Linked DNA regions of Caenorhabditis elegans. The protein of the gene in region 1 purifies or fractionates together with the protein of each later gene. This does not show direct contact. Each region holds a gene or a part of one and is shown on either strand. Other genes may lie near its edges.

What was found.
Region 2: the proteins of tftc-3 (region 1) and npp-13 purify together in Caenorhabditis elegans (affinity purification with western blotting, with the first as the bait; one study listed by BioGRID). This does not show direct contact.

What each region holds. Positions count from the first base shown.
Region 1 is NC_003283.11:10,205,985-10,212,164, reverse strand, and holds tftc-3 (TPR_REGION domain-containing protein), read left to right. Parts: upstream 1-1,820; 5' UTR 1,821-1,824; coding exon 1,825-2,385; intron 2,386-2,433; coding exon 2,434-3,309; intron 3,310-3,369; coding exon 3,370-3,633; intron 3,634-3,674; coding exon 3,675-4,098; intron 4,099-4,142; coding exon 4,143-4,279; intron 4,280-4,329; coding exon 4,330-4,445; intron 4,446-4,491; coding exon 4,492-4,591; intron 4,592-4,640; coding exon 4,641-5,170; intron 5,171-5,232; coding exon 5,233-5,338; 3' UTR 5,339-5,449; downstream 5,450-6,180. Other genes in the region: zhit-3 (Box C/D snoRNA protein 1), read left to right, coding at 42-156, 202-437, 485-688, 732-1,367, 1,413-1,589; rpc-25 (DNA-directed RNA polymerase III subunit RPC8), read left to right, coding at 5,564-5,776, 5,826-6,091, 6,141-6,180.
Region 2 is NC_003279.8:2,095,408-2,100,440, forward strand, and holds the start of npp-13 (Nuclear pore protein), read left to right. Parts: upstream 1-1,938; 5' UTR 1,939-1,939; coding exon 1,940-2,038; intron 2,039-2,092; coding exon 2,093-2,332; intron 2,333-3,182; coding exon 3,183-3,299; intron 3,300-5,033.

The DNA.
Region 1 (6,180 bases):
TAAACTTCGAATGTCGCAAGAGTAATTGAATTTTCAGTAATATGACTACGAGCCATACTCCTGAACCAAAAGAAGTAGAAGACTATCAGGAAGACGGAGAAATACTGGACGATGATGATGATGTACCAACGGAAATTCCAAATATAACTTCTGAATGTTAGTTTCAAGTTTGATATCAATTTAAACAAAAACAATTTTCAGTTTTGGTGAATTATCCCTCATCGGAAGACGAAAAATCTCCTGAAGACGTTATCAAAGCCTACAAGAGGAAAATTGAAAATCAAAAGAATGTGGAAAACGAGGAATCTGTAATCCCCGCTATTGATCCAAAATTATGTAAAGTTTGTTTGAAAAACGAGCACAAGTACAAATGCCCAAGATGTGAAATGCGGACATGTTCACTGGATTGTTCAAAGAAGCACAAAGCGGATAATAATGTAAAGTTGTTCACGTTTGAAAAAAGCAATTTTATTTGACTATTCAGTGTGATGGAGTACGGCAAGCGTTTACCAAGGTAGATAAATTGTCTCAATATGATCCACAAAAGTCAATTGATGATCAGAAATTCATGCACCTGATGAAAGAGAAAGTTGGGTTAGGAGCTGAACCAGTTGGTGGTGTCGGTAATGATGTGAATAGTTCGGATGGAGAAGAGAAACCAGTTGATCCGAATGCACTTCGATATACAGTAAGTAGTAGTATCTGTCAGCTTCATAAATATCGAAATTTAGACCAACTCTCCCACCGAGAGATATCTTCTCAACGCGGCTCGATTCCGTCATATTTGGTTAGGATTTGTTGGCGAACAAGAAAATGAGAGCAGACACGAGCAACATTCTGATACTATTTTTTGGACTTTGAAACTATCATTCAAAAAACAAACCGCGGACGGAGGTATAGAAGTATTCGAAAAGATAGTTAACAATATTCCTGAAACAATTCGAGTAGCAACAGTTTTGAAGCAATTCTTCAAACCCCGCCAATATGGATGCATTGTCTCTGAAAGCGACCTCGACGTTGAGAAGCTCAAGCCGTTTATTGATCGCGGAATTGACGATGTCAACGTTTATATGGAAGTTCACGCAAATCCAGAACGATACTACGGAATTATTACTGATAGCACCATTCTTGAAATGACAAGAACTCGAGTCGTTGCAGATTTTCCAAAATTAGTAATTACTATGAAGGACGAATTTATTGAAAGTATGCAGTTATTGTCTATGGAAGAACTTGCTGAGATTCAAACCAAATACGGAGGTGTAGGAAATCAAAGATTCGGAGGCGGCGGTAGAGGACGTGGTGGTAGAGGCTTTCATCGCGGAGGCGCCAATCGAGGTGGAGGAGGCTCGAATCATAATATCTTCAGAGTTAGTGGTTCAATATTTATTCAGATTCAAAATAAATGATTTCAGAAAAGACCAGGACAAGATGGAGGTCAAGACGGTGGTTTCAAGCGTGGACGCGGCGGAAATTTCCACGGAGGAAGCCGAAGAGGTGGATATCAGAACCGCACCCATCAGAATATCGATACCTTCGACCCATTCGAGCCCTTCTCCGGACCAAATCGACTTCCTATGGAGTACAATTGATTTGTTTTTTTTGTTGAAATATTTGGTACATTTTGTTGAATTTTATTCGTTTTTATCCATTTTTTGTACAACGTTGTTACACTTGTTATTTCTACATTTTTCAATTTTTTTTTTATAAAACATGAATGTTAGAGTTAATGGTCGAAATTCAAATTTTCATCGCGTACCGATCGCTTCTTTTTATTTTAAAACAGATCACAAACTTCTTTTTCATAGTATTATTGCTTGAAGAAACATGGATCCAAATCAACCATCAACTTCCGATTTCTTAATAGAGGAAGAAGAAGAGTACGGTAATATTTTAGAACAAGGTTCTGATGTTCCTGAAGTAGAAGAATACGATTTTGATGATGATGATGATACAAATGGAATTATTGCTGGAATTGATACAAAACCTCATCTTACTGGATTACACAATGGGTCCGGGAATAGAAAAAGAGTAGAAGAGCCAGCTGAAGCCATTGATGATGAAGAATTAGTGAACGCTATCAATAGATTCATGAGAAATGAATATGACTATGATCAATTTATGCGGGTTACTGGAGGACAAACTCTCAAGGAAGAGTTAGGAGCAAAGCAAAAAAGATCGGCAAGAAACAATGTGGTCGACGAAGTCGAAGAAATTGATACTGCAGATGATGATGAAGAAGAGGACGATGAAGATGTAGAGTTAATGGAAGACGTTGAAGAAGTGTCAACTTCTCAACATGCTGGAAGTTCATACTCTTTTCAGTCTGCAGGACCTTCTGATCGCTACGACGCTCTTCCCGAAGAAGCTCGATATATTATGACACAGGTTTGCATTGTTAGACTATCGATATTACTAGAATGAGAAAGGTTACAGATGATGTCTGGTAAAGATGAAGGACAGGTAAACCATTCCGATGAAATGGAAGTTGAATATGAAGTAGAAACTGAAGAAAGAGAACCTCCTCCTCTGAAACAAGTAAAAATAGAAGGCCAGAAAGCAGATTCTACAAGTACAGAAACTCCAGCCACAAATGCAGAACCTCGAGATCGAGGAAAATTGAAAAGATTGGATGCTATGTTGGGTCAGGCAAACGTGTTAGCTGCTCGTGGAAATATCACCGATGCCATGGAAATTCTTCGAGAAGTAATTAAACAGGATCATAAACATGCGATTGCTTATCAACAGATAGCCACTGTATATGAACAGTTAGGAGATCATCAAAAAGCTCTTCAATTTGGTTTACTGGCATCGCATCTAGATCCGAAGACTCCACCAGATGACTGGGTACATTGGGGAGATGAAGCTGAAAAATTCGGAATGATTGAAGAAGCTGCCGTTTGTTACGATAGAGCTATTCATCTCAATAATGAGAATTGGAAGTTTTACGAAAAAAGAATTGAAATGCTTGATCGGCTGAACCTACGACCTCTCGCAATGCGTACTCGTCTACAAGCTGCTCAATTGATCAACAATGAAATTTTACAAGTGGATTTTGAGTGGTTTCATGATTTGATTCGCAAAGTCGCTCAGTACTACATTACAATGAATGATGAAGAGAAAGCAATTCAATCTCTCGAAGCATTTGTTCTCCGGAGTAAAGAATTCGAACGAGATGCAGAACCACAACATGAAACTCTCATTGGAATGTATTTAGCAAAGAGCAAATTCCGACAAGCTGGAATGTCAATTCTGGCAATGTGCAATGGTGTCAAAGCAATTCGTTCTACAACAAAGGATCCCGCATGCCTTGTAAGTTGTTCATAAAGTCTATCACTGTGTTGTTTATAATAATTTATAAAATTATTTCAGATAACTTACACAAATGGAACATATGAATGTTTGCCTTTTCCACCTGTCGGAAGCGATATCGATTATGATATTGATGTCAATCTGTTTCCAGTCAGTATGCACTGCCATCTCGTCATTTGTCTCTTCAGTTTGGATGAAGTCGAACAGTCTTCCGTGTTGGAACATAAATTATTGAAAAGAAATTTCAATGTAGAAGAAGATGAAGGATTTATTCTAGATGTGCCAAGGCTTTACAAGAACAGAGGACATCCGAAACTTGCAATGGTGAGAAATATTATGTAATAACAAAATACAGTTTTTTTTAGAACTTCCTGGATCAATTGACCAAAAATCCTTGTTACAACAACGAAGCATCTGGTGCTTACTGGTATCTGAAAGGAAGTCTTGAAATGATGCAGAAGCATGATGATCTAGCAATGGAAGCATTCAATAAAGTTCTGATACTACAACCGGATCATATTGATAATCGTATCCATTTGTCAACTCTCCAGCAAAAATCTGGGTTTTTCGAAAAAGCCCTCGAAACCTTGGAAAATTATGACCTGGAAAACTGCTCATCGATGCCAGATGAACGTCTTCTTGCTCGTCGAGCAGACGTTTTATTCGAAGCAGGAGATTCTGAGCAGTTTGTAAGGATCACGAGAATGATGCTGGCTCCCCACTTCTACAAAGTCTATATTTCTCCAGATATTTTGAAGAAACGACGGGTTACCAAAGGAAAAACGACTAGTAAGTGAAATAACATTTTAATTGTCTTCAATACGAATTTCCAGCACCTGCTCTCAGTAATACTTTGAAAACTTGTGCTTTTGGAGTTGTTAAACATACAAATTGGGAACGCCTTGTCAAAAGGCTGGGAGCAACTGTAGAAGCCAATGGGACTTTTCAAACATCGCTTTCGGGAACAGATGTAATCATTATTCGAGCATACATTTGATTGTGTAAATTTTTAATTTTCAGATACATGACTACTGTTTGAAGTTAATCGAATGTTTAAATAAAATGGAGAAACATCAAGACGCACTCATTGTCTGTTGTTATGCATTTTTACATCCAACTCTTTTCAAAGCCGACAAGTGAGCTAATTTGTTCAAAATTTTCCACACATTACAAAATTTTCAGAATCTCCACTTTCCAGAATTTAGTATATTTTTGTGCAATCAAAGCAAGATGTTGGAATTTGGCATTTGAATATGTTAGATTCTTTCACACTTTTTCTTTGGTAACAATTTGTATCTTATTGGACGCATTTAAGTAATTTAAATTTCCAGGCAGTCAGCGATCCTCAAAATGGCTCATTCTCTGACGTTCTCCAAAAACGCCTTTTCAATGCAATGAACTACGTATTCGTCAACTCTCAGAATGTCTGCTACCATCGATTTATCATGAGAGCACTCGTCAAAGCTAAAGATAATCATGCTCTTCAAGCGATTTCAGGCAATAATTCACTTATCACGGGAACATACCGACATGCAATGGGAGAGTATCTTCGAGTATGGGTAGCCAATAAACGAAATCCACTCATCTGTATGCTGCTTGCTCTCACTTTCACTCATATGTCTTGTAAGAAGGATCTCTCAAGTAGACACCTCATCGGAATCCGAGGAATTGCTTTTATGAAGAAGTATTCAAAAGCACGGGCTTGCCAACAAGAAGTCTTTTATAACATTGCCAGAATGTTCCATCAAATGTCGATTCTCCCTCTCGCCAAACATTTTTATGATAAAGTATTGGAGGTTGATCCGCCGTGTGTGTTTGATTTTGATGAAGATGGCAATGAGGTTATTATTCCAGCAATGAAGTAAGACAATTTTAAAAATAAATTAGAAATTTCTGTCTGTAGAAATACTATTAAAATTTCAGATATGACCTGAGAAAGATGGCTGCTCACAACCTGGCTTTAATCTACCGAACATCAGGAAACAATTTCGCCGCTAGGAAAATTTATGAAAAATATCTTGTTGTTTGATTTTTTGTTGAAGAATAATTTTTGTTAATCTATCCAATGTCTGACATTGTGTGGTCTAATTTATAAGTAGCAATCCCATCGTACTTTTTTAAACAATTACTTATAAATTTTCTTTTTTATTATTTTTATTTCATTATATTTGGTTCTGAGAATATAGTTCAAGCTTCCATTCAATATCTGCTGATACTGATGCCGTATAAAAGGAAAATGTTTAATATTTACAGTATGTTCATTCTTTCTCTACTGCACGATACGGTGGCTATTCAGCCTCATCAATTGAGCTCTGATCAGCAAATTGTTATCAAAAAACGGCTCAATGAACGTCTCGCCAACAAAATTATTCCGGATCTTGGTCTCTGTATTTGTGTCTATGATATAAATGAAATTGGTGATTCGTACATTTTACCCGGCGAAGGAGATTGTAGAGCGAGAGTTAAGGTAATAAATCAATGTACAGTCGTATTTGAGAAATGAAATAAATCTTCAGTTCCGTATGATCGTTTTTCGGCCATTTGTCGATGAAGTTATTGAGGCCAAAGTGATTGGTTCATCACGACAAGGTCTTTGTCTAACAATTCAATTCTTCGAAGACATTTTTGTACCGGCGGAAAAGCTTCCAGAACCTCATGTTTTCGAAGAAGAAGGGCAAGTTTGGTATTGGGAATATGCACAGGAAGATGGAGAACCACCAGCAAAACTGTATATGGATCCAGGGAAGATTGTGAGATTCCGAGTGACGGAAATCATTTTCAAGTGAGACATTTTGTATTTCATCGAAATTAAAATATTGATTTGTTTGCAGAGATCTCAAACCAGAGTTAACACACGAAGAGAGAAAAACA
Region 2 (5,033 bases), on another chromosome or scaffold:
CTTTGGTGAGGATTTTGTGAATTTTCAAACTTTGCGCGTCGAATTTGGTGTATTCACATTACACACTGATTTCTGGCTTCCCTTGAAATGGAAGAGTTTTTGCCGAACTAGGCCGTTTTGGCTCGGCCATATCTGGGGTAGATTTACGGCGCGTTGCGTGTCGCGTCGCGGCTCGATTTTAGTTGTAAAACTAAATGTATTTGTCCGTGTGGAGTACACGACTTTCCCAGTCCGGCAGGCGATTGTCAATGGAGCGCGAAAAATTCAATGAGGAAGGCAATAACCCCGTAGTACTCTAATTAAGTGTCCCGTTTTTACGAAATTTTTATAAAAATTGGTTTTTTTTGTTTTTAGAGAAAATTATGAATATATTTTCTTGTTTTTCTAATCAACAAAAGCGAAATTTAATGTAAAATTACACGGGGTTCTGGCCTTCCTCGTTGAATTTTTCGCGCTCCATTGACAATCGCCCGCCGGACTGGGAAAGTCGTGTACTCCACGCGGACAAATACATTTAGTTTTACAACTAAAACCGAGCCGCGACGCGCCGTAAATCTACTCCAGATATGGCCGAACCAAAATGGCCTAGTTCGGCAAAAACTCTTCCATTTCAAATTATGAGTCCCCATCATGCCTAAGAACCCTCTATTTAGGTTACTGACACATCTGAAACCGGTGCTACAGTACCCTGCGTGGTGGGACCCGAAAATTTGAAATTTGGCAGAAAATGGGCAAGATGGGAGTCATTTTGAAGCTGAGAATGAGGAGAATGTGAATTTTAGAGTAATTTAGAGAAAAAAGTGAAATTGGGGAAAAAAAAACAATTTTTTTGGAAATTTTTTCATTTCAAAAATGTTCTTTAAATTGTCGTTAAATTCGAATTTCTCGATTTTCAGCTGTAAAATGACCCCCATCATGCCTGGGAATGCTTCAATTTCACACATTTCCCCATTGACACAGCTGAAACCGGTGCCACAGTACCCCGCGTGGTGGAAAAAAAACCCGAAACTTTCAAAAGAAATCCCTGATTTGTTTTACACTGAAAAATTGTTGAATTATCACGGGAACACAAAATTCAGAGAATGCGTATTGCGCAACAAATTTGACGCGCAAAATTATTAATATCTCGTAGCGAAAACTACAGTAATTTAAAGAATTTAAAGAATTACTGTAGTTTTCGCTGCGAGATATTTTGCGCGCCAAATATGTTGCGCAATACGGGCTCTCTGAATTCTGTGTTCCAGTAATTTTTACTTATAATTATTTTCCATAGACCAGTAAAACATTTACTGATTAAAAAAGCTCTCGACACAACTGTCACTAAATAATTCATTTTTTTAAAAGAAATTTAATGTTTTTTAGTGTTCAAATCATCCAATTTGTGATTTATTATCTGCTCCATGAGTTCCTGAGACCGATCTACCATCTGGCGGTGTACTTCTAACCGGAAAAGTCGATAATGTGGATGCTACGACACGCTCCCGAATTTATGTCTTTTTTTTCGTTTTTCTTTAAAAATAATACTCAATTTTCTTGAAACATTTTCATCGAAAATGTTTTTTTTTTCAATTTTTTTGTAAGTTTTTCATTTTCCCACTCAATTTGTACTGAATTCGATTCAATTCCAGCGGAAATTAATTTAAATTCAGCTCTTGGCAATGTGCCAAGAAGCTGGTGGCCTAGAACTCGAAATACTGGCCTAGGATTCATGCGGGATTTCGGAGTGTCGTTGCACCGATTTTTTCAAAATTAATTTTCGTTTTGCCGCGAAAAACGAGAATTATTTGGTTTTTAAAACGTTTTTTAACGATATTTTTCGATTATTTTCATATTTTTCAGGGTTTAAACTGGAAAATGTGGTTAATGTAAACTGGTTAATGTTGTAAATCCTTGAAAAAACCTAAACCAGTAATTTTCTCAATTTTTAATTCAATTCAGGATGCTACAGTTTACGGAGATCCTCGGAAGAGTTGATCATCAAGGATTCGCACAATTGCTTGCTAATCCGATTTTCCAAACCAACCGTGTCGGCCAAGAGGTTTGTAAATAATGTTTAAAATGTTAAAAACACCGAAAAATTCCCTTTTTCCAGAACTCGCAGCAATTCACAGTCCGAAATGGCGTCGAGCAGGAGCTTTGCGGTATTTTAGGCGGTTCAGAAGGCGACTGGACACGTCAGACGCACTCAGTTCAGAAGCAGATGATGTTTGGGGAGCGTGGCATCGAACTTCCGAGCCGCCAGCCGAAAAGTCACACCGCCGAGGATACTCTCACTGATGAAGGTGTCGTGGACGTGCCTGAAGCTGTAATGGATGATATTGACGAGGAAGAAGTACTTAATCACGGCCTCCTTGAGTGTTCATAATTATTGGAGCGAGCTCGCGTGGCACCTCACGAACTCCAGAATTTGCGGGAGTTCGTTCCGCGGGAACAGCAGTTTTTTGTTATTTTTGGCTTCTATAGGAAATATTTTTGATTTTTTGTTTTATAATATTCTTGAGAAACATCATCCGAATTGAAAATGTGTAAAATTATGAAATTGGCCGAAAACTGGAAGTTTTACAGAAGAAAGCCACTATAGTTTTTGAAAAAATGTATCAGGATCGCCAGTTTTGCGATTTATGCGTCGTAAAATATGTCATTTTGTAGAGAATTAAAAGTTTCATAAAAATTTTCGTTTGAAATTTTAATTCGTTAATTTCTAATAAAAAAATATTCAAAAAATCAACAATTTTACGTTAAAATCTTATTTCTTCAATTTTTAAGTTTTCAATAAAAACAATTTTAAATTTTCAAACAAAAATTCTTATGAAACTTTTAATTCTCTACAAAATGACATATTTTACGACACATAAATCGCAAAACTGGTCCTGATACATTTTTTTAAAAACTGTAGTGGCTTCCTTCTGTAAAACTTTCAGTTTTCGGCCAAATTTTATAATTTTACACATTTTCAATTCGGATGATGCTTCTCAAGAATATTATAAAACAAAAAATCAAAGATATTTCCTATAGAAGTCAAAAATAAAAAAAACTGCTGTTCCCGCGGAACGTGTTCCCGCGAATTCTGGAGTTCGTGAGGTGCCGCGCGAGCGCGCTCTAATAATTATGAACACTCCAGGTGGCCGTGATTAATTAATAATTTATCATGAAAACAACGTTTTAATCTTTAAATTTTCCAGCTCGACGAGGACATTTCTCGTGTTAAAGTGGAGACGGATCGAGCATTCTTCAACCACATGCTTCTTTCGAGACCTGCCGCAGTTCCCATGAATCCAGCACAGGCTATGGAACGAGATGTTCGTTAAAATCCCTTGCGCGGCACACCTCACGAACTCCAGAATTCGAGGGAATTCGTTTCGCGCGCACTTCTATAGATATTATTTTCTATTTTTTTGATTTATAATGTTGTTGAGAAGCATTTTTCCGAATTGAAAATGTTTAAAATTATGAAATTTGACCAAAAACTGACGGTTTTACAGAAGGCTTTCTTTAAAATGTATCAGAACCGTCAGTTTTTTGATTTCAAAGTCGTAAAATATTTAATTTTGTAGATAAAAGTCTGTTTCACAAAAATCCACGTTTGAAAATTTAAAATTGAAAATTGTTTTTATTAAAAACTGAAAAGTCTAGAAAAAATAAGATTTTAACGTAAAATTGTTGTTTTTTTGAGTATTTTTATATTAAATTAAAGGTGGAGCACCAAAAATTTAGACTTTGCTTTTTTGGACCCAAAATGTTCCAAAACTACCAAATTTCGTAATGAGACGTTCTGAAAATTTCTCAACAAAAAAAAGTTACGACCGCTCAAAGTTTTGGAAGAAATGGTCTATTTTCAGCTAAAATCTCAAATTTGTCAGCTTTTCAGTGCTGCATCGGTTGGTACTCAATTTTTATTTGACTAGCACTCTTTAATACATATTATGGTAGTTTATTACGCGTTTTTTCGTTGATTTGAGCCCATTTTGGGTTGATGGGTGCACAAAATTGTATTATATTTGTGCACCCATCGACCGAAAATGGGCTTAAATCAACGAATAAACGCGTAATAAACTACCATAATATGTATTAAAGAGTGCTAATCAAATAAAATTAAGTTCCAACCGCTGCAACACTGAAAAGCTGCTAATATTTGAGATTTTAGCTAAAAATCTACCATTTTTTCCAAAACTTTGAACGGACATAACTTTTTTGTTGAGAAATTTTCAGAACGCCTCACCACGAAATTCGGTAGTTTTGGAACATTTTAGGTCTAAAAAAGCAAAGTCTCAAATTTCGGTACTCCACCTTTAATTTCTAATATAAAAATATTCAAAAAATCAACAATTTTACTTTAAAATCGTTTTTTTTTATAAAAGATTTTCAGTTTTTAATAAAAACAATTTTAAATTTTCAAACGTCGATTTTTGTAAAATACTCTTTTCTCTCTACAAAATGACATATTTTACGACTACGAAATCGAAAAACTGACGGTTCTGATAGATTTTGAAGTAAAACCTTCAGTTTTCGGTCAAATTTCATAATTTTACACATTTTCAATTCGTATGATGCTTCTCAACAATATTATAAATCAAAAAATTCAAAAAAGAATTTCTATAGAAGCCGGAAATAGCCAAAAACTGCTGTCCCCGCGCGAATCGAATTCCCGCGAATTCTGGAGTTCGTGAGGTGTCGTGCTCGAATAATTATGAACACTCCGGGAGACCATGGAAAACAGGGGGTTCTGGCCTTCCTCATAGAATTTTTCGCGCTCCATTGACAATCGCCTTGGGAAAGTCGTGTACTCCACACGGACAAATACATTTAGTTTTACAACAAAAATCGAGCCGCGACGCGACACGCAACGCACCGTAAATCTACCCCCAGATATGACCTGGCCTAGTTCGGCAAAAACTCTTCCATTTCAATTTATGAGCGGAACCAGAGTTCCGTGCTCGTTTATAATGATTTTTATGCCGAAACACGGAATTCTAGCTTCCCTCATATATTGAAATGGAAGAGTTTTTGCCGAACTAGGTCAGGCCATATCTGGC